5 linked regions of the Canis lupus familiaris genome follow. The protein of the gene in region 4 interacts with the protein of the main gene of each other region in a pairwise test. Links are inferred from orthologs where the notes say so. Each region holds a gene or a part of one and is shown on either strand. Other genes may lie near its edges. The genes, in order: TNFAIP3, EEF1A1, TANK, IKBKG and EPAS1.

Evidence for each region.
Region 1: the proteins of IKBKG (region 4) and TNFAIP3 interact in binary tests that used the Homo sapiens proteins (3 or more experiments, as listed by UniProt). The link is inferred for Canis lupus familiaris from reciprocal best matches to the Homo sapiens genes IKBKG and TNFAIP3.
Region 2: the proteins of IKBKG (region 4) and EEF1A1 interact in a two-hybrid assay, tested with the Homo sapiens proteins (2 studies listed by BioGRID and IntAct, with this or other methods). The link is inferred for Canis lupus familiaris from reciprocal best matches to the Homo sapiens genes IKBKG and EEF1A1.
Region 3: the proteins of IKBKG (region 4) and TANK interact in binary tests that used the Homo sapiens proteins (3 or more experiments, as listed by UniProt). The link is inferred for Canis lupus familiaris from reciprocal best matches to the Homo sapiens genes IKBKG and TANK.
Region 5: the proteins of IKBKG (region 4) and EPAS1 interact in a two-hybrid assay, tested with the Homo sapiens proteins (2 studies listed by BioGRID, with this or other methods). The link is inferred for Canis lupus familiaris from reciprocal best matches to the Homo sapiens genes IKBKG and EPAS1.

What each region holds. Positions count from the first base shown.
Region 1 is NC_049222.1:30,482,655-30,487,632, forward strand, and holds the start of TNFAIP3 (tumor necrosis factor alpha-induced protein 3), read left to right. Parts: upstream 1-1,918; 5' UTR 1,919-2,054; intron 2,055-3,015; exon of another isoform or gene 3,016-4,978. UniProt on the Homo sapiens protein: Ubiquitin-editing enzyme that contains both ubiquitin ligase and deubiquitinase activities.
Region 2 is NC_049233.1:35,820,197-35,824,951, forward strand, and holds the start of EEF1A1 (elongation factor 1-alpha 1), read right to left. Parts: upstream 3,084-4,755; intron 2,969-3,083; coding exon of another isoform or gene 2,860-2,968; intron 2,797-2,859; coding exon of another isoform or gene 2,696-2,796; intron 2,150-2,695; 5' UTR 2,116-2,149; coding exon 1,972-2,115; intron 1,709-1,971; coding exon 1,529-1,708; intron 1,415-1,528; coding exon 1,118-1,414; intron 1,017-1,117; coding exon 866-1,016; intron 780-865; coding exon 523-779; intron 445-522; coding exon 210-444; intron 100-209; coding exon 1-99. Other genes in the region: uncharacterized protein LOC119874198, read left to right, coding at 2,696-2,796, 2,860-2,968, 3,084-3,414, 3,741-3,986. UniProt on the Homo sapiens protein: Translation elongation factor that catalyzes the GTP-dependent binding of aminoacyl-tRNA (aa-tRNA) to the A-site of ribosomes during the elongation phase of protein synthesis.
Region 3 is NC_049257.1:7,114,875-7,118,835, forward strand, and holds the end of TANK (TRAF family member-associated NF-kappa-B activator), read left to right. Parts: intron 1-23; exon of another isoform or gene 24-192; intron 193-2,441; coding exon 2,442-2,621; 3' UTR 2,622-3,278; downstream 3,279-3,961.
Region 4 is NC_049260.1:123,436,378-123,439,486, forward strand, and holds part of IKBKG (NF-kappa-B essential modulator), read left to right. Parts: intron 1-316; coding exon 317-460; intron 461-725; coding exon 726-868; intron 869-1,254; coding exon 1,255-1,316; intron 1,317-1,523; coding exon 1,524-1,666; 3' UTR 1,667-3,109. UniProt on the Homo sapiens protein: Regulatory subunit of the IKK core complex which phosphorylates inhibitors of NF-kappa-B thus leading to the dissociation of the inhibitor/NF-kappa-B complex and ultimately the degradation of the inhibitor.
Region 5 is NC_049231.1:49,679,944-49,684,159, reverse strand, and holds part of EPAS1 (endothelial PAS domain-containing protein 1), read right to left. Parts: intron 3,735-4,216; coding exon 3,520-3,734; intron 1,993-3,519; coding exon 1,799-1,992; intron 1,314-1,798; coding exon 1,203-1,313; intron 1-1,202.

The sequences.
Region 1 (4,978 bases), on a different chromosome or scaffold from region 4:
CCAGAATATTTCCTGAGGATGGAACGAAGGCCCACCTGGCTCCCAAGCTCACCTTCTGCTGCTGCCCAGCACCCACCTTTGACTTAGTGACTGCTGTGTGTTTGTGAGGCTGGGGGCCAGGGTAGAAACAATGGCCTTGAGATTTTAAGTCTTGGAGGATCTTTTCTGAGAGTAATATTTAAGACCCAACAGCGTTTACCTTGGAGTAAACAGGCCCAGTTCCAATCACGGCTCTGCCACTGACCGACGGTGTAGACTTGGGGTAAATGGCTTAAGCTTCTTACACTTTAATTTCATAGCTTCAAAGTGGAGTTGTTTTGAGGCTTAAGTGGCAGAGTGCCTTTCAAACACTTAGCCTAGAGAGCGGCATATAGTAAGGACTTAATAAACATTATTATTATCATATTCCCTATGCGTTGTTTGAGAGTTGGTAGCTAAAAACATTTGTGAATGAACAGCTTATACCAGCAGGTATAAGAAGAAATGCCAGGAGGTTTGGAGTTGTCAAAAGTCCCAGCCATTGGTTTCAAATGGCCAGCACCAGCCTTGGAAGCTTGGCCACTTCTGACTCTCCGCTCTGAGTGTCTCTTTGCCAAAAATGTGCCACCTGGTCCTCATCCAGTCCTCCATCCAGTCTCTGCAGGTCCTTACTGGAGAGGAAAGCATATTTTTCTAATTCCAAAACTGGGATACGAGGCCCAACTAGTATAAGTAAGTCTAGAAGGGGACAATGCACAGAATATTTCAATCTGGTTCTAGTTTAGCTATTCTAAGAAATGCGCCAAGGGGGACTCTTAGCCAGTCAAAGTGCCTGCCTCTCCCTCTGCAATTCAGGCACCTCCACTGTCCAAGTGGCTGACACCTATTTCCACAGGACGTCCTTTGGGTAAAGACTGCGGGTTACCACACTATTTAATAAGGGGTGGGGGTCGTGGGTGGGTAAAATGTATTATCAGCCCTTGACACCTTGGCCTGAACTAATTGTCAGGTCATGAAAAAGAGCTCCTAATAGGGCCTTAGGGGGGCCACGCAAGGACAGTAATAATGGACTAGAAATGATTTCTAAACCGAAATGTTCCTGCGTGCCGAGCCCCCTGGGCACCTGGTGTGCAGGAAGGGAGAAAGGGAAATCAGTAAAGTGCAGAACAGGGCTGATAGTTGCTCTGATTCCCAACTTCACCTAAGATAGGTTTTGCTCCTGCAAATTTCAAGGCTGTGGGGCCTCAGGAGGTCACCCCCAACAGGCCGCCGTCTGGGCGGCAGAACGCTGGGATGGGGACGCACGGAGGGTTGTGAAATCCCCACCGGGGCCCAGAGTAGGGCGCTCCCCGACGAGCTCATCACGTGCACAGCCCTAGCTTTTCCAACCCAGCCCCGAAGGCTGCGGTCCCGGACGCCCGGGTGGTTTTTAGGGTTTTCTTTCTTTATTATTTCCCTTATTGTTCTCCACGGTTGGTGATTTTCTGCAGAAAAACGGCTGAGAAAAAAGAACCTATTTCATTTCCAGTTCCCATCACCGCGATTTCCACATGGATGTGACGTTGGGCCAGCTTCCGAAATGCCCAGGTGACTCACGCGGGGACACCCGGGGGCGGGGCTCAGGAGTTTCTCGCGCGGGGGGGCGGGGCGGGGCGGGGCGGGGCGGGGCGCCGCCGGCCTCCTGCGCCGCCCGCGCCCCCTGCGCCCCCTGCGCCCCCTGGCGGCCGGCGACCGCGGGGCTCGGCGCCGGCCCGGGCGTCACGTGACTGGAAAGTCCCCGGGTGGAAATCCCCGTTCTCCGCCGGCGGTAAAACAGAAAGGGAAAAAGAGAACTGGCAGTCTGCAGTCCTCGCAGCGGGCCGGTGCAGCGCGCTCGGAGCCCGCGGGGGCGGAGCGGTGACAGCAGCCGCCGGGACAAGTGCGGCGGCGGCGGCGGCGGCGGCGGCGGCGGGCGCGAGCCACACAGCCCCGCGGCGAGCGAGCGCCGAGCCCCGGCGTCCATGGGGCGCCTCCTCCGCGCGGCCCGGACCTGACCCGGACTTGGGACTCTGGAAGAGGATCGCGCGGCCGGACAGGTAACCGCCGCGTGCCCGTGCCTCTGCCAGCGGCGTCGCGGGGCCCGGGCTGCGCGGGTGCGTCACCGGCAGCTCCTCGCGGGCGGGAGCTTGTCGGCCCGGGCCCGGCCCGGAGCTCGTCGGCCGTCGGCGCTCACTGCGGGATGTGAAGTGCTGGGAGTCGAGGCGGCCGCGCACGACGCTGGGGTGACAGCTCGGGAGCCCTCCGGCCAGCTGTTCCTTGTAGATGCTGCCAGGAACGTAAGCTGCAGCAGGCGGCTGGAGAGGAGCCCCCGGACGGCCAGGTCGCGTGGTCCTCGGTGCTTTGCCCCTTTGCGTGCCTTTTTTATTTTTCGATCAAGCTCTGGATGCTCGCGGACACGGAGACCTTGCAGAGCCGACCCGCCGTGGCTTCTTCCCGGCGGGTGCAGAGCCAGGCCACCCGCCGGGCGGGGGGGGCGTGGGGGCCCGGGCCAGCCAGCCTGCCCTGGGTCGGCTTGCAGACCCCGCAGCCCAGTGCAGGGAGGCGGGTGGGCGGAGGGCCGGTGCTGAGCTGCTGCAGGCGCCGCAGTGCGCGAGGAGTGTGCATGCTCAAGCGGGACGTTGGCCGGCTTTTCGGGTGCTCCAGTGGACGGCGACCTGGAGGCCCCTGCCCCAGCCCCTACCCCACAGTCAGACGGTCGTTGTCAGCCCGGGTCGTCCCACATCCTGCCACCTGGCCTCTCAGGAAAGCAGTGGTATTAAGTAAGGAAGGAGCTCAGCGCTTTTGAGACCGCTTTGTTTTCAGTTCTCCCCGCCTCTGATCTTCTTTCCTTGGAAAGCTGGTCTGGTCAAGTGTCTCAGGGCAGCCTTTGGGGAGGACCGTGGTTCATCAGTCCCCTGGACCTTAGCACTAGTGTCTGCAGTTGTTACGCAGCCGGTTATAGCTCCATTCCCATCGTCTAAGGTGCTTCTTTGTTTTTTGTTTTTTTTTTTTCTCTTTTTAACAATTCTGTGTACAAGTTTTGGAGTTTAGGAGTGAGAGTTACCAAAAATTCGATGAGGCATTTATTGATTTAAAAAAAAAAAAAAAAAGTCAGTGAGGTGACAAATGTAAAAGAAATGGTAAGGGTGATAGCATATGTCTTTACCTGTAAGGACGTTACAGTTATAGGTCAGGAAAATTTATTCTTTCATCTTAAACGTGGAGAAGTCCGAGAACTGGGAACTTGGCTGGTGGGTTCTAATTCTTTTCAGGAGGCGATCGATTCCACAGTGTGTGCAAGGCTAAAACTATGAATGAGATGACCCAGGGCTATACAGTACTGACATTTGCATGTCTTACATATGGCAAAGAGCGCTTGTGCTATTTGAGGTCTTTGCTGAAAGATCTTTAAATTAGAAGAGATTAAGAGAAGATTCGGAAAACTCAAAAGGCAACACCTAGCTTGTTTCAAATCTTTTTGCTTCCGGCCTCTTCCCGTCTGGCAGCAGCAGGCACAGGGATGGTGTTGTGGGAACTGCAAGGGGCAGGTGTTGGAAGATCTGGCTTCCAGGCAAAGCTGTCTGCCTTGGGTGGTGTGGAACCTGAGCAGGACCCGTGCTTGTGTTGCCATGGCTGTGGACAGGGAATAAGGGCACCTGTGATTTTTAGTCCCAGCATCCAGCATGGCTCTCAGCAGGTGAGCAGGCAGTGCTTTTTAAGCAATGGACAGATGAATGAGTGATTGTGAGACTGGCCATGCCACAAAGTGGAAATGGGTGTAATGTTTTTATTGCTTCATTATGCTTGTGCCCTGCAATAATTTTGCCCAGTTCCACCTTCAGGGAACTGAAGGAAAGATTACCAACTGGCCCAGAGAATAACTTCTCCCAGGCCTCATTGACAATCAGATTTGGAATCCTGGTCCAAAACTATCACCAGAAAACTCCTCAGAAGCAACCTTGGGTCATCTACTTTAACCTCTCTATTTTGGACCACAAGTTTTAAATCACTTCATCAATGGCTTTAAGAGAGCCTAGACCCACCTAGGAATGGCTTCCCTAAAATCTAGGTTTCTTCTCACTCTTACACAGGTTTCAAGTCTTCCTCAACTAGAAGCTTGCCCTGGCAAATAGTATGGTGCAGGAGTGAGATTAGCAATCTCCATGAAACTTCCTAGGGAATGTCTTCATGCTCCAAAACCATCTTTGCCTTCATCTTGGAAACCAAGATGTATGTTGGGGCACCCTGCTAAGGCTTGTGGCTTTCCACACAGCTCCACACTGCAGAGATCCCACGTTGCATCAATTCACAACATCCTACGCTATTGGCATGGGTTGTAGATGCTGGGTTTTGCACCACCCCCCTCCCCCCGCTTCCTTCATTTATCATGAGCATCCCCCTGGCTGAAACATCTTTCCTTGCCCATTTCCAGACTTTTATTTCCTTCTACCAGCAGATTATGTTTCAGGATTCCAGGGTGAAGACAGGGTGGGAAATGCATTTGAGTGTTGGTACCTGGACAATGATAATAAATGTAGTTAAGTTGAAATAATTGAAATCTAATGCCTGCTCTCGGAAGTGTAAAATTTATTCTTGTATTATTATTATTATTATTATTATAATTCTATGTCCTATTCTGATGTTGTGAAGTTCAGTGGAGAGGTTCTGAAAGACTTTATCATTGACCGTTAAAATTGCAAAGCTTCTTACTGGAAATAGGCTTTTTCATTGGTTCTAAGATATTCAGTTTTAACTTTTATAAATATTATAATACATTTTTATAAATAAGCTCTTGATAAATATTTCTCTTCGGGGCTAAAGAGGAAACTCTAATCAGCAGCCTACGTGACAACATAAAATTGTGAGATTTTCCACAAAACATTTATTCTGCAGTGTAGGGTGGGAGGGCTTAAAAGAGATAAATTAAGGCTTTGCCTAAAAGCCAGGGCTGCTCAGCAGTGGTCTTAAGGGAGAAGCTAAG
Region 2 (4,755 bases), on a different chromosome or scaffold from region 4:
CAGACTTGGTGACTTTGCCAGCTCCAGCTGCCTTCTTGTCCACTGCTTTGATGACACCCACAGCAACCGTCTGTCTCATGTCACGAACAGCAAAACGGCCTATTAAAACAAATTTTAGATCACTATCAGAAACTGTATCAGAAACTATACACAAATAGCACGTCCTAGTGCTTCAGTAAGTTTTCTAATTATGCTTAAATCATTCTTACCCAGAGGAGGATAGTCAGAGAAGCTCTCAACACACATAGGTTTGCCAGGAACCATATCAACAATGGCAGCATCCCCAGATTTCAAGAACTTGGGACCATCTTCCAGCTTCTTTCCAGAACGACGATCTATCTTTTCCTTCAGCTCAGCAAACTTGCAGGCAATGTGAGCTGTGTGACAATCCAGCACAGGTGCATATCCAGCACTGATTTGGCCTGGATGGTTCAGGATAATCACCTTGGAGGAAAAAATTGCATTTAATACATTTCAAACAGGATCTAGCAAAGAGAACATTGCCACTCTTAAGTGTGTTACCTGAGCTGTGAAGCCAGCTGCTTCCATTGGTGGGTCATTTTTGCTGTCACCAGCCACATTGCCACGACGAACATCTTTGACAGATACGTTCTTGACATTGAAGCCCACATTGTCCCCAGGAAGAGCCTCACTCAAAGCTTCATGGTGCATTTCAACAGACTTTACTTCAGTTGTAACATTGACTGGAGCAAAGGTGACCACCATACCAGGCTTAAGAACACCAGTCTCCACTCGACCCACTGGGACAGTACCAATACCTAAAATATTTAGAAGCATCGTGTCAGATACCTTCTGTGAAGAACAATCCATAAATCGTATTTTTAAATGGCAATGTTCAACTTACCACCAATTTTGTAGACGTCTTGGAGAGGCAGACGCAAGGGCTTATCAGTTGGACGAGTTGGTGGCAGAATGCAATCCAGGGCTTCAAGCAGTGTGGTTCCGCTGGCATTCCCATCTTTACGGGTGACTTTCCATCCCTTGAACCAAGGCATCTAAAAAAACAAGATTGTCCATTAGCATTCCCCAAACTGTTGTCATTTAGTGTCAACATATGCCTCTTCTATCACTTCCTCAAAGCCTTGAAGTCACTTACGTTAGCACTTGGCTCCAGCATGTTGTCACCATTCCAACCAGAAATTGGCACAAATGCTACTGTGTCGGGGTTGTAGCCAATTTTCTTAATGTAGGTGCTGACTTCTTTAACGATTTCCTCGTATCTCTTCTGGCTGTAGGGTGGTTCAGTGGAATCCATTTTGTTAACACCAACAATTAGTTGTTTTACACCCAGTGTGTAAGCCAGAAGGGCATGCTCACGGGTCTGCCCATTCTTGGAGATACCTGCTTCAAATTCACCAACACCAGCAGCAACAATCAGGACAGCACAGTCAGCCTTTAAAAGACAAAAAGACATCCTGTTAAATAAATGTTCCTCAAAAAGATGAACTCCCCCTTTTTTCCCATACAAAACCCAAGCCTACAGTTATTTTCAAGTAATCCTACAAACCTGAGATGTGCCTGTAATCATGTTTTTGATAAAGTCTCTGTGTCCTGGGGCATCAATGATGGTCACGTAATACTTGCTGGTCTCGAATTTCCACAGGGAGATATCAATGGTGATACCACGTTCACGTTCAGCTTTCAGTTTATCCAAGACCCAGGCATACTTGAAGGAGCCTTTTCCCATCTGTAAGGATTAAGAATGGTTACTTGGTAACTTAAACACAAACTTCCAACTTGAAATCCCTAACTCCTGCTTAAGCAGAAATGCGGATTCCACTTTACAGTTAGGTAGTTCTATCTCCCAAAGTTACATAGATAAAAAACTCTTCAGCAAGCACAAACAATCTACCACAAGCAGCAGATTCTGATAGACTAGTAACTAGTTTTGGGGAAGTTGACACTGGCCGACTTTTTTTTAACGATCTCTCATTAAGTTAGTATACCAACCTCAGCAGCCTCCTTCTCAAATTTTTCGATAGTTCTTTTGTCGATCCCACCACATTTGTAGATCAGATGGCCAGTAGTGGTAGACTTGCCCGAATCTACGTGTCCAATGACGACGATGTTGATGTGAGTCTTCTCCTTTCCCATTTTGGTTTAGGTTTAGCGGTGGTTTTCACGACACCTAAATTTTAGGGTAGGAACAAACCCTTTTAACTACTGTCCCGGAGGCTTGAAAATAAGCCACGACCAAACTCGCAGAGACCAAATTCCAAGAATTACAACCAGGGCCAAGCTGGCCCAACTCTCGTCTCCACCCACCAAGCGTGGGGTTAACTCCACCGCATAAAATCCCCTCCCCCCTCCGGGGAAGGCCTGCTTGTAAGGCGTTGAGGCGGAATGGAGGTGCCAAGACGGCGTTCGGTACACCGTAGGGTCACAGGAAGCAGCGGCCTAACAGGGAAAGGCCCTTTTCCTTTGTGTGGGTGACTCACCCGCCCGCTCTCCCGGGCCGCCGCGTCCTCCATTTTGAGCTGCCTGCAGCAGGGCCGGAGAGCGGCCATCTTTCCGCGCACGCAACTGGTGCCGAGCGGGCCGGCCTCTCCGCCCGGCGTAGGACGGTACATCGCGGCGCGAGGCCCGGCACCAGAGCCGCCCGGCCCACTCCACGGGACTCTCCCGCGTCCGACGCGGCGCCCACGGCTCGTGGGCCTTCCCCGCCTCGTCGGACATGTGCGCCGGGACGAGCGGGCCTCGTCGCCGCCCTCCGCGCCTCGCGGCGGCCCCACACCCCAAGAACGCGACGACCGCGGAAAAGCCCACCCCGTTCAAGTCCTGACCAACCTCCGCTCAACCATCTCGACGGAGAAAACCATAGCGGCCTTCTTTTGGTAGGTCAAACGTCTGGAGGCTTAAACCACTGTACGAGGGCAGGCAAGAAGGTGCGGCGGAATTCGCACGCGGCCGCCACAACACCCAAGCCAGGCCTCAAACCAACCACGAGGCAAAAGGGGTCCTAAAAAAAGGCGCAAGGCCTGGAACCTTCCCACCCACTCACAATCCGAAATTCGGGGTCAAGAACATCGTAAAGTGGCTCGGTGGCGCGGCCGTTGTAAAAGGCACGCGAGGGCCGCTGGCAGCTCAAAGAGGCCAGGCCCGCGGGAGCCACACCCGGCACTCACCTGTGTTCTGGCGGCAAACCCGTTGCGAAAAAGAACGTTCAAGGCGGCTACGGCACTTATATACGGTCCTCCCCCACCCTCGGGGAAGAGGGCGGAGCCAGCACACGACACCACTTTCCCAGTTTACCCCGCGCCAACTCCATCAGGCACCGGTTCGGTCGCCATCCCCTCCCCCTACTGCTCGGGGACCGTGGGCGATGTGCGCTCAGCCCACTAAAGAGCGCACATCTCCTCGCGCATGCTCCTCTTGACCCCGATGACGGCGAGAGTGAGTGGGTGGGGAGGCGGGGACGAGCTTTCCGCTCGTTCTATGTTAGTGAGAGTTTAACGACGGTCCCTGGGATTCCCCGAGGCTGAAGCGAGTCCTCCTTTGTATGAATTACTCTCAGCTCCAGCTGAAGGGGCGGGCGGGGGGGCGAGGAGGCGGCCCTGCGGGGAAGTACTGAATCTGCCCTCTACGGTTCCTGGTTTAACTGCAAAGATGGTGTGGCGATTGGAGTACGCCTTCCCTCCGCAGTATACCTCCAGTTCTTAACCTGGTCCTCTCCAAGGTCCAGGACTGCCCCTTTGAGCCGCTTCCTCCGCTCGTCGCAGGTCCGCCCTGGGCTGGCTCCTCCCTCGCCCCTGCCTTCTCTTCCTCTCGGGGCTGGAGAGTACAAGGCCCGGGCTCCCAGGGCAGCGAGGGACCCGAGGGGCCGCCTTCACAGCCGGAGAATCCGCAAGGGTTTCAACTCGGTGGCCGTGACCCGGACGAATGTGCTCTTGGGCTAGCCTTTTGGCTTGTTCCAGTCCGAGCCCGCTGCTTTTACCGAAGCCCGAGTCACACGTTCACCCCATATGGTACTCCAGACGTCTAGTTCTTCAGTTCAGAATAGATTTCAATCCCACAGTCTGCCTTTTAACTCTAGTTTCATTACGTTATAGAAAGACCCTATGTGTGTCTACTCTCGTGGTACATTTTTTCTACAGTGTACACTCATTTGATTGCTAGCATGAGCAACCTAAAAAGAATTTTTCAAATTCAGTCTTTCCGCATGATCTCAAGTAGAAACTAAGATCTACGGCTTCAGCAAGCTTATCCACCCAATTTCCTATCCCCAACACTTGCTGCGAATCACTGCTTCTTAAAGGTGGCCTAGCCCATTTAAATAAATTAGTTCATTTTCTGTTAAATGGATTTTAACTCCATTTGAGCATAAATTTAGGGCGAAACCGGATGAGGCCTTTTTGGTTGGCAATCAGGGCAGACTGAGAAATACTTTCAAGAAGGAACTTTTATTTTTAATGAGCTAGTTACTATATCAGTATGTCTCTTCCATGTGTGGAACATCACTGCAACTCCTCCAGCCAATCTGTTAACAAATGCTTGAAACCTACTATGTGTCCAGTGCTAAGCGAGTTCTGTGGCATGTGCAAAATAAATTCTCCTTTGGAGAGGAACCCACGATCAAATTGGAAGGGGAAAACTAATATATAAAACAACTGGGAAGCAGTTAAAGGCAAACTTGTATGGTGCTTACTTTTTATTTCATTGTAGAATATAGTTCTAGTCCTAGTTTTCAGTTACTTCTCACAACCCCAAATCCCTTTTTTACTTTGTAAATGAAAT
Region 3 (3,961 bases), on a different chromosome or scaffold from region 4:
TCTCTTGCTTGTTCTTTTACTAGTTAGTCTGTGCATTCATGTTTCAGTAGATGGCACCCTGCATTGTGCATTTGCTTTCTATGCTACAGCAAGGGAAACAGCTGGTATGTGATTACAACTTGATGGAAAAGTATTCAGCTTAAAAAATGCAGAAGAATTGGTGTTGAGCTGTCACAAGACATGGGGCATAAGGTTAGATAATTGATATTTTGGCAGAAAAGGCAAAGAAATTAGTTTGTTTTGAAGGCCATGTTGCAGTTTAGGATTGAAAGAATATTTCTTAAAATTTTAAGAACATTTTGCCATTTTATTTGTATTAATAAAACTAGTATGATAAATACAAAATTCTTGAATTGTTGATAATGACAAAGAAGTGAAAAATTTGGGTTACATATTTCAGATTTTTATTTTATATCAATCACTACTTCTTAATACCTTTTTATACATTCAGCTATCATAACAAAGCCTAAAATATATCTGCTTATTTTTACTGTATGTGATTTTCTTTTCTTCCTACTTTTGCTGAGTCAGTGAGTGGGGTCCCAACTGAATTCTATGAAAAGATCAAATCTGAACCAGTAACTCCTAATAGAGAAGGATAAACATGGACTTTGAAGATAAATTGGCAGTAGAAGGTTGGCTTACCAAATTTAGAAGCTAAATTGCTTCTAAGCTTATTTCTTCCTATTTTATAGATCTTAATAAGAATTACCTTTAACGGAACAATCTTTTATTTATATCCATATCAGTTTCCCATGAAAGTGATCATCTTAATCACTTGTACTTCTTGTTTAAACTGAAAACAGTAAAATTTAAATCTGGTTAACTCTAACTTATTTTTGCTTATTTCTCACAGTTATCACTGCTTTTAATCCTATTTTCTAAAGAAAATTATCTTACCCCAAACTTTAAAATATTTTAAATATTACTGTTTTTGTGATAAAATTGTCACTTCTTAAAAAGGGAATTGAGTCAGTGTTATTAGAAGCCTCTGTTCTGCTATTTGAATATATCTCGGTGCCTAGCAGACTTTGTATATTTACACCAACTGTACACAGCTGTCCGGTAAAATGTTTTTAAGAAGACAGTGATGTTTTGAAACTCAATTGCTTCAATTAGTAATACACTTGTTTATTGTAAATGATTGGTTAACTAGAATGGGAGATTGGTTAAGGGAATGAAAACTAACACTGTATCAGGTGTTGAACTAGGCTGTTACTTTAAAAACACATTAGTCATAGGAGGCCAAAGGGGTCTCTTTATTTAAATTGAGTTTTTGAGGTAATTCTCCTCAAAGTATCAGAAATTAGCTGTGTGAAGGTAATTTACTTTGTGTCAAGGTATACAAGAAAGTGAATTTTTTTTAAAAGATTTTATTTATTTATTTATGAGAGACACAGAGAGAGAGGCAGAGACACAGGCAGAGAGGCAGGCTCCTCACAGGGAGCCCGATGCGGGACTCGATCCCGGGACTCCAGGACCATGCCCTGGGCGGAAGGCAGGCACTAAACTGCTGTGAGCCATCCACGGATCCCCGTGAATTTTTTAAATAATTTGGTTTATAATATTCAGGAAAATAAGACCGTCAACAAGCATTTATTGAGCACCTACTATTGAACTAAATGCTTTTTCTTGCCCTACTAGATTTTTTAGAATAAATGCAGTATTTCCAGAGTATTTATGTGTTGCTTATAATGGAGATAGTCCCTTTGAATTTTTCATACTTCTTTAATTAGGCAGCTATTGACAAGTCTCACTGTATTCAGTCACAAGAAAGAGTAAAGAAGGCAAAACTATGCAGTATATATAGCAAGAGCAAAATAAGTCAAAAGAATGCATCTTATGTTAGATTTGTTGAATGATTAAAATTTTGAGGTTTCAAAAAACAACTGATCAGTGGAATTTTAGTACTTTAAAAATTCTTTCACCAAAACCACACTATTCCTATATGTTTTATTCATTGTGTATTTGCTTATAAGTAGCGAAATTTAAATGGCTCTTGATCAGAATGCATGTTTACACACATCATGTCTAGTGTACTGTGTATTAATAAGAGCCCTATAACTTAAGGTTTCTGTTGGAAAATAGTAAAGAGAAATTTTAATTTTTAAAAGGTCTTATTGACTGTTCCAAAAACTACTGCCATTATGATAACAGACATTAAAATTTGCTGATGGTAAAACTGGAAAATCTTTGACTAGATGAAGATAAAGCGCATGTATGTGTTTTCAGTGACTCTTAATCAAAGTTCAGCTGTGCCCTTAATGAACCGAGACCAGAGTCCTGTCTTCATGCTAATGCTATGGAAAGGTACTTTGCTTTCCTGTGAGGGAATTTTGTGTTTATGCGCATACCCCGTGCAGAAAACCCCGCATTTGAAATTCACTGTAAGTTGATTGTAAGTACAAATAACAGAAGATGTTTTTGTTTGTTTCCTGCAGCCCATTTGGAAGCCCTTTCCTAATCAAGACAGTGACTTATCTTCGGTCCTGGGTGGCAGGGACTCAGAGCTGCCTATCCCTCGGGTCTGTGAATTCTGTCAAGCTGTTTTCCCACCATCCATTACATCCAGGGGGGATTTCCTGCGGCACCTGAACTCCCACTTTAATGGGGAGACTTAAGATGCACTTGAAGACAGTCCTGTGGGATGAGTCTATGTGATCATCCAGGTCTGGGTGATGGTCTTGGGTTTGTAATACTATAGATACTTGATTGCAAACTTAGTTCAAGATCATTTAGTGAATAATAGCTATGAATTTTTTTTCTAACCTTACATTGTAACTTTCTTCTCTTTTAAAAGATCATTCTGTACAAAGCTGTAGTTCATTGTATTCATGTTTACAGTGTTTATTGCCTTAATTTATGTTTGTTTCAAACATCTAAGCTTATTGCTTGGATTTCTAGTTAGATCTGTTGAATTTGGTGATGTCAAATGTTTATGGGGTTTTTCACCTAAAATTAGATTATTTATGCTATAGGCGATTTTATTTTTTTTTAAGTAAACCTGTAATACAGAACAGCAGACAACATAAATGCCTAGGTAAATGCCAAACCTAAGACATTTGTTGCCCAGGGATAAAATCACTGGTTAGAATTATTTAAATACTTTAGATTGTTTTGTTAAATAATATACATGGTTTTAAATTTTGCTATGTATATAGCTACATGATGAAAATTAGTTAAATATTTAAAAAGTTACTTATGTTGTGATCTTTACATGTGTTCTTTGTTCTTGAGTGAAAAAAATAAAGAAATAAATTACATTTGGGGGAAGTTTATAACATTCATGTTTTCTAATGGTAGAAGGGTGATATCAGATCTGGTGACATTTAATTACGAGTAGTAGATCACTTTGAATTTAGTAATTATTTTTCAAACTAAACTTGCTAAAGAAACACTTGTATTTCCAGGGAGCAAATTTAAAAAGCCCTATAAGGAGTATCCACATTTATTGATTGATTTATAAGTATTTACATTGTTGTTCAGAAATGTGTGGTTCATTGTCAGCAGCCTGATGGCCACTGGAAGACGTTTGAGAGAGAGGATACCAAATCCGACGGCTGCAAAATATTTCTTAAAATAAGGTGTCTCTTTCATTTTTCTTCCCTGTGGTGCTTGTTTTTCAGGTTTCCCTTTGCCTCCGATTTTTAAAACTCTTTGAGGCATGGCTTCCATTTTATAAAGTGCACATTGATTTGCAGCTTTCAAAACAGGAATTTAAGCCTTCTTTGGAGGAAATGTTTTTAAAAATTGGAGGATTTTAGGATGGGGGAATTTGAGAGGCCCCTGTGCCCCAGTAAAAAGCCTTAACTCGTGGAAGAATGAAAATGGTGCCTCGACTTCTCAGGGTGCCAAGCACATCACATTGACATCTTCTTCACCAAGGTGACATAGCGATTATTAGGTATTCACTGTGAAGGGTTCTGAGACGCGCGGACTTCTCTCCTCCGTTGCCGCTGGG
Region 4 (3,109 bases):
CAGGAGGGAGGATGGCCCTGTCCGCTGAAAGGTTAGAGGTGGGCTGTCCGGCTGGGGATTCTGGGAAGGGAGTGTTGGCCTGGGTGGGAAGTTGTGCCACATGATGTCAAAGGTTCCCTGTAGCCTCTGCCTTTCCTGTGCCGTGCACGCCCTGTCGTCTTGTGCTCTCCACCACTCCAGGGTTGGCCAGCCAGGGCCCATCTTTCATTGATTCCTTTTGGTTCTTCTCACCTGGAGCAGCAGCCGGCCTGGTGGCAGCCTGGTGCCTGCCACGGGCCAGTTTGGGCTCCTGCAGTTCCCCCTTGCCCGTTCCTAGGGAATGCAGCTGGAGGATCTCAAGCAGCAGCTCCAGCAGGCCGAGGAGGCCCTGGTGGCCAAACAGGAAGTGATCGACAAGCTGAAGGAAGAGGCCGAGCAGCACAAGATCGTGATGGAGACCGTCCCGGTGCTAAAGGCTCAGGTGAGGGCACTTCTCTGTGGCCCGTGTGCGGGTCAGCCGACTGGGCCTGCTGGGCCCTGGGCCCTGGTATGTATGTCCCTGGTGTCATTTTGCGGTGGCTTCACGGAAGCCCTTTGAGCCCCTTGCTCTTCCTTGATCTGTCTGCGCTTGGCGGTGACTCTCTGTGCCCCGGCTCTGGGAGGGTGGGAGCCGGCTGTCCCCGATCCCCCAGCAGGCAGTGAATGGCCCACAGCTGGCGGGCGTGCCCCTCTCTTGGCTTTGCCAGGCGGATATATACAAGGCCGACTTCCAGGCCGAGAGGCAGGCCCGGGAGAAGCTGGCTGAGAAGAAGGAGATCCTGCAGGATCAGCTGGAGCAGCTGCAGAGGGAGTACAGCAGGCTGAAGGCCAGCTGTCAGGAGTCGGCCAGGTGGGCCTCGGAGGGCCCGCCCCACGGGGGGTGGGACTGGGTGCGGGGGTCCCGGTGGTGACCGCGTGCGTGTGTCAGGTTAGGCTGAGCCGGCCCTCCCTCTCCGCTCTCCCTCTCCTGCCCTGTCCTGCCCCATCCTTCCGTTGGCTCCGTGCATACTTTTTTTTTTAAAAGATTTTATTTATTTATTCATAAGAGAGAGAGAGAGAGAGAGAGGCAGAAACACAGGCAGAGGGAGAAGCAGGCTCCATGCAGGGCGCCTGACATGGGACTCTGTCCCGGGACTCCAGGATCAGGCCCTGGGCCGAAGGCAGGCGCCCAACCGCTGAGCCACCCAGGGATCCCCTCCGTGCATACTTTTGATCTGACAGTTTCTCTTCTCAAAGGATTGAAGATCTGAGGAAGCGGCACGTGGAGGTCTCCCAGGCTCCCTTACCCGTCACCCCAGGTGAGTGAGCGGTCGGAGAAGGGATGGAGAGGGCAGGGTGCCAGAGAAGGGCCCATCTCGCCTCCCCAGAGTCACTGTCCCGAGTGCAGTCCCCTCCTGGGGACGGGGCGGGCTGAGAGGGAAGACGCAAGCGGCGGTGACCCCAGTGGCCGACCCGACAGGCCTAGCAAGTCTCAGTCCTCTCTGATGCTTCCTCTCTTTCTCCAGTTCACGCCTCCTTTCACGTGCCCGTGTCCATCCAGAGGAGAAGCCCCCCCGAGGAGCCACCGGACTTCTGCTGCCCCAAGTGCCAGTATCAGGCCCCTGATATGGACACCCTGCAGATACACGTCATGGAGTGCATCGAGTAGGGCTGCCTGCCAGTAAGCAGCACAGGACGGCCCGGTGCGAGCTCTCCTGCCGCACGGTCCAGAGTTACGGGCTAGGTGACACAGAACAGGCCACTTCTGTGCGCCCCACGAGCTAGCTCTAGGACCTTATGCTTCAGCTCCCCCATCTGCTGGTTTGCCTCTTTTAGGGCCCATGGAACCCCGGTTAGGCCTGATGCTCTGCTCCTTTTGCTCGTTCTGTCCGCTTGAACTGCTTGCCCTGGGGCTCCCTCTGTTTCCACGTCCACTGGGGAACTCAAGAATCAAGGCCAGGGCTCTCAGAGAACTTCTCAAGCCAAGACGGGCAGAAGCCTTGCCTCCCGCCCACGCTTCCACACACCGTGGCCCCAGCACCCTCGTGGGCCGCGTGGTATTCCATTTGGAGGCTGCACCGCCGGCCCATTTTACCAGTCAGCTTCAGATGAACACTTGGGCCCTCGCCACTCACTGTCACAAACGATGCTGCACTGAACATCCTTGGGCGTCACTTACGTGTCTCTTTGGGTCAGGGTCTTAGAAGCAGCACCGCTGAGCATCGAGCCCTGCCCACACGAGGGGTGCCCGGCCTGCGGGCTTTTGCCATTTGTCGGGCACGGCGCTCTCTATTGAGCCTGAGTGTGTTTGTGGAGCTTGAAGGACCTTTTCGAGTTCTGCTCTTAATGGCTCATTTGTACGTTTTGCCCATTTTTCTGTTGGGCTGTAAGTCTTTTGTTCCTCAGTGGGTTTGAGCTCTTTGGTCACTGGTGGGATGGGCTCTTGTGTATGATAGAAACTGCCACTGTCTTCTCTTCCTCTAACTTTGTGTGAGTGTGTTTTGGGCTTGAAGTTGGTCATCCTTGCGTGGCCACGTCTGTGCACCTTCCCTTCCCTGCTTTGGGTTTACCATTGTTGTGACGGGCTCATGGTTTGACAGGGAGGTGCTTCCACATGCGCACTTTTCCTTTCCTTTTCCGACCGACCACCACTGCGTGCTCTTGTCCTCCCAGAGAGTGTTGCTGCTCTGTGTGGTGGCTGCCTTTCATCACGTTGCAGAAGCTTGTGATGCTGCTCCCCACACCAGCCCCAAATGCCCCAGCCTTGTGAAGGGAAGCCACTTGGTGACAATTGGCAGGTTCTGAACGCTAGAGGGCCCCTTACTGTTGCTTTGCAAGATTTCTGGCTGTTTCCTCGGATGCCAAAGCCAAGGGCTGCCAAAGCCAAGGGCGTTAAGCCCGCAGTTGTCAGCAAAGGACATCAGAAGTGGAGGAAGAATGCCCTGGCCTCCCCTGGTTGGGAATGGGGTGTCGCCGAAGACAGCCTGGCCGGCAGCCCGTTCTGGAGACGAGACTGGCCCGGGGGGCGCCTGGCGTGTGCAGCAGCGGGAGCACCTTTTCCAGTTCCCGGAGCCCGGGTGTCTCCTCGCAGATGACTGAACTTTGGGAAAAC
Region 5 (4,216 bases), on a different chromosome or scaffold from region 4:
CAGGGCTCCTGGCATGCGATGTTAGCCTTTCCATGGGTTCATGCCCTCTTCAGTCTGTGTCCTGAACCTCCATGCTCCACGCAGCTGTCCCTGCACGTTCCACACTGGTGGCACCACCTCACCCAACCTGAAACGCCCTCCTGTCTCCCGTCTGCCTGTCCAGACCCCTCCTTCTCCCCTGCGGCCCGTGGTGCACACGCCAGGAGCCAGGGACAGCTCTGTCCTCATCTCCCTCATCTATCCTGCCACAGGCCTGAGCACAGGACGAGCACCCAGGGTCCGTCCATGGCCTGCTTGTACAGTAACAGCTGCCCTACTGGCAGAGAGACTTTCACTCGGCAAGTACTTAGGTAACATGCTTAAGTACTGGGCACAGTACTGATGGGTCCTATAGGACCCTGATGTACACAACAGGACGTACCCAAAAGCCCATGCAGAAAATGATACCCTCGCTGTTGGGGGGTAGGGTGTGCAGCTTAGTGATGATGACTCCCTGTATGGCACAGCGCAGGAGCGGAAGCAGATGGCATCAAGTACTGAGCAACCCCTCGGGAGTTCAGAGGACAGAGCAGGAAGGGCTCAAGCAGGGAAGTTTTGCCGAATTGCGAGAGCTTGCGCCAGGCAGGCCAAAGAGACCAGCTGCGCAGCAGGGGGACTTGTTAGAACAACTGGGCCTGAGACGAAGGGGGCTGAACACTTGTCCTTGGGGCACTGTGAAACACGCACCCATCTCATCCCTGTTCTTATCATTTTTAAGAACCCCCACCTCTGTGCATTCCTGAAAAGTTGTGTGTAAATGAAAATCTCTGCTAGATGCCATTTTAAAATGCATTAAAAGTTATTTCAGAATCCTAAGATGAAGGTGTGTGTGAGGAGAGTTACTGTTCCTTATTGTTTATGAACACCTCACAAATCTGGACATGCTCTTTAAACACAGGGCTTCTTTAAGAAAGGTTCTGTGGCTTTCTCGGTGCACAAAAACTCAGCCTCGGTAAAGAGCTCCCAAGGTGGATTTGGTGAGCAAAGCAGAGGGCAAAGGTAGGAGAAGGGGACTACTGCAGGCCCCACTTCCCCTTTATGACCAGGGCCTTGGCCACATGCCCCCACTGGTCTCTGCGACCGAGGACAAAGGGACGGGGCTGCCAGAATGGCTGTGAGCCTTCGTCTCCCCTCCTGCCAGTGGGCAGGTGTAGCCCATCTACCTGAGTGCTGCCCTGGTCCTTTGCCTCTGTGTCCATGGTGAAGAGCTTCTCGATCACCTCAATCTTCAGATCATCATTTAGAGATGTGTAGTAGTCTCCGGGGCTGCTGGGCTGGGGGCCAGGAAGGAGAGACACCAAGTCAAGAGTAGGGTGCTGGTCTCCCCAGAAGTCCCAGGTGAAAGAAGTATGTGTCTAGACTCACAGACTCAGCTCCATTCCATGGAACAAGTATGTGTAGAGGGACCCCTGCTGACAAGTAGGGCTGTGGCCGGCGGGGCTCTGGAGACCATACAGCTATCTGCCTGGAGCAGGACGGTGACTGTCCCGCACTGGGACCGAGCTACAGGCTCAAAGCTGTGTGCAACTCGGCCCCCATCTCCAAGGAACTTAGGGCGTAGATGGGGGTGCAGACAGTAACGGCAAAGGCTGGGGCAGCAGGCAGGTAAGCATCCGTCCCCACCACTCTACGGGGTTCTGGGCTCACTGGAGGGGCATGCGGGCATATTCCTGTTTGGGCTGTCTACTCGGCCATCCTGCAGCAGTTAAAAGGAACAGCCCACCCTTTCCATGTCCTCACCCCAAGGCAGGGTGCTCACCGTGGAGCAGCTGCTGCTGCTGCTGGTGGCACTTGGGGTGGCGCTCCCGGAGGCCGCCGCTTGGGGCACAGTGAAGGCGGGCAGGCTCCCGTCCTCGCTCTGGGTGCTGTGGCTCCTCAGCTCTCTGGGCCACGGCTGGCTTGGGGGCAGGAGGGCGCTGTTGTAGGATGAGGACTCCTCGAAGCTCTGGCTCCCTGCAGAGACAAGGGCCTGGCTGGTTAACACCCACGGCCACTGGACTGGCCACTGGGCTTACCCCTGGGCAGAGAGCCCAGAGGGTGCTCAGAAGGCCCTAGGAGGGTCTGAAAGCAGGCCTGGGGCTAGGTCCTCAGCCTCCGAGGTTGGGCCGCAGCAACGAGCCCCTACCAGGGACTGTGAGGCAATGAACTATCTCCCTTTGAAGGGAGCACCCTCCTGGAGGATTTCATTGTCAGGGACTACAGGTACTGGGACCTACTTCCTCGACAGGTAGTCAGCAATGTCCACGAGGAGGGGGTTGTAAGAGGAAAACAGGGCAATTTGCCTCAGTACTGCCACAAAACTGGGAAGCCACAAAACTCCTCGTCCTGGGGCCGCTGCCCTTTATAGTTTCTGAAGTTGCAATCCCCAGCTGGCCTCTGCAGAGCACTTCCAGAGGGCACAAGCCACTCTGGGATGAGCACAGGGAGGTGCTGCTGGCCCTGGGCCAGGCTGGTGAGGGTGAGGGGGCTCACAACCTGGGAACAGGGACACATGGAAGGTGCTTCCAGCATGGGCGGGGAATGGGCTGAAACTCTGCCTGGGGCCACAGGACACAAATCTCCACTGGACAGAACAACATTTCTTTCTTTTTTTTTTTTTTTTTTTAGAGCACATGCACAGGGTTAGGGGGAAGGGCAGAGGGAGAGGGGAGAGAGAATCTTCCAGCAGATTCCACGCTCAGTGGGGAGCCTGACACAGGGTTCAGTCTCACAACCCTGAGATCATGACCTGAGCTGAAATCGAGTGTCAGATACTTTACCTACTGAGCCACCCAACGGCCCTATGGACAGGCCAGCATTTTAAAGAAATAGTGCATATGAGGGCATCATCCTGGGCCAGAATCTTTCCTCCAGCCATATTTCTGGAACTATTTCTATTATTTCAGCCTGCCCCTCTCCCTAAACGAGCAATCTGTCCCCAGGGGATGGGGATTGGCCCTCACTGTGAAAACAGGCCAGCGGCCTCCCTCATCTCAGGCCCTCACTGCCCGTGTTGGAGAACCAGTGACTCCTCAGAAGAGAGGCCCCCGGGCAGCCCTGGTGGCTCAGCGGTTTAGTGCCACCTTCAGCCCAGGGCATGATCCTGGGGTCCCTGGATCGAGTCCCACATTGGGCTCCCTGCATGGAACCTGCTTCTCCCTCTGCCTGTGTCTCTGCCTCTCTCTCTCTGTGTGTGTGTCTCTCATGAGTAAATAAATAAAAATCTTTAAAATAAAAAAAATAAAAATAAATAAAGAAGAGAGTCCCCCACAACCCCACCCCCTGCTCAGGACCTTGCAAAGTCAGCAGCAGGACCATCTTACTCCGCACCATGTGTCGCTCTTGTGCTCAGCACAGTCTGGCCACCAGACCATGGAAGGGGCAGGGGTTAAGGAAGAACTGAAGCCAGGGAGGCCTGTTCCAGTAAGAACTTCCTCCCCACCCCCACCTGCACCCCACGAGAGGGTTCAGCAGGCCCCTGTTCAGCTAAGAAGCACCCACCGAAATCCAGAGAAATGATGGCATCTCCTGCAGTGGGGGCCAGCTGGGCCAGCTCCTCGGGCTCCTCCTTCAGCTTGGTGAACAGGTAGTCACTCTTGTCGGATACCGCCACCTCGCCACTGCTGTCGAAGAGGCTGGTCATGGCCATCAGGTGGGGCTTGAACAGTGATTCCGTCTGGTCCATGGAGAACACCACGTCGTTCTTCTCAATCTCACTGGTGGGACGAGAGGTGCTTCAGACCACCCACGTTTTCTAGCAAAATCCTTTTACGCCCCCCACCCCCCCCCCAACACATGGACAACCGGACAGCTAACCCTTTCAGCCAAAAAAACATGGGTCCAGACGCCTGCTAGCATTTGTAAGGAACCACACGGCAAACTTTGGGGTCATGGAGGCAGCAACCTGGGGAGCGCCCTCTGGATATGGATGCGTCTTGGACGCTGTCTTATTACTGTGTGGGGGCTGCACTGTACACACGGGTGTGATGGTTTCTGTTTTTGTTTAACACTAGCAGTGACCAGCTCCAACTTTCTCCCCAGGCACCATGGAGCTGTTACATCTCTCCTGGAAAGCTGGAGCACTATCACTTTCCTTATTCCTCATTTTATTAAATGACAATTATGCTGTCTGCCTCCCCATGTGGGTCAGAGCCATGACACAGATGACAGATGGGGGAAGACGCAGGGGTGGGGGTGG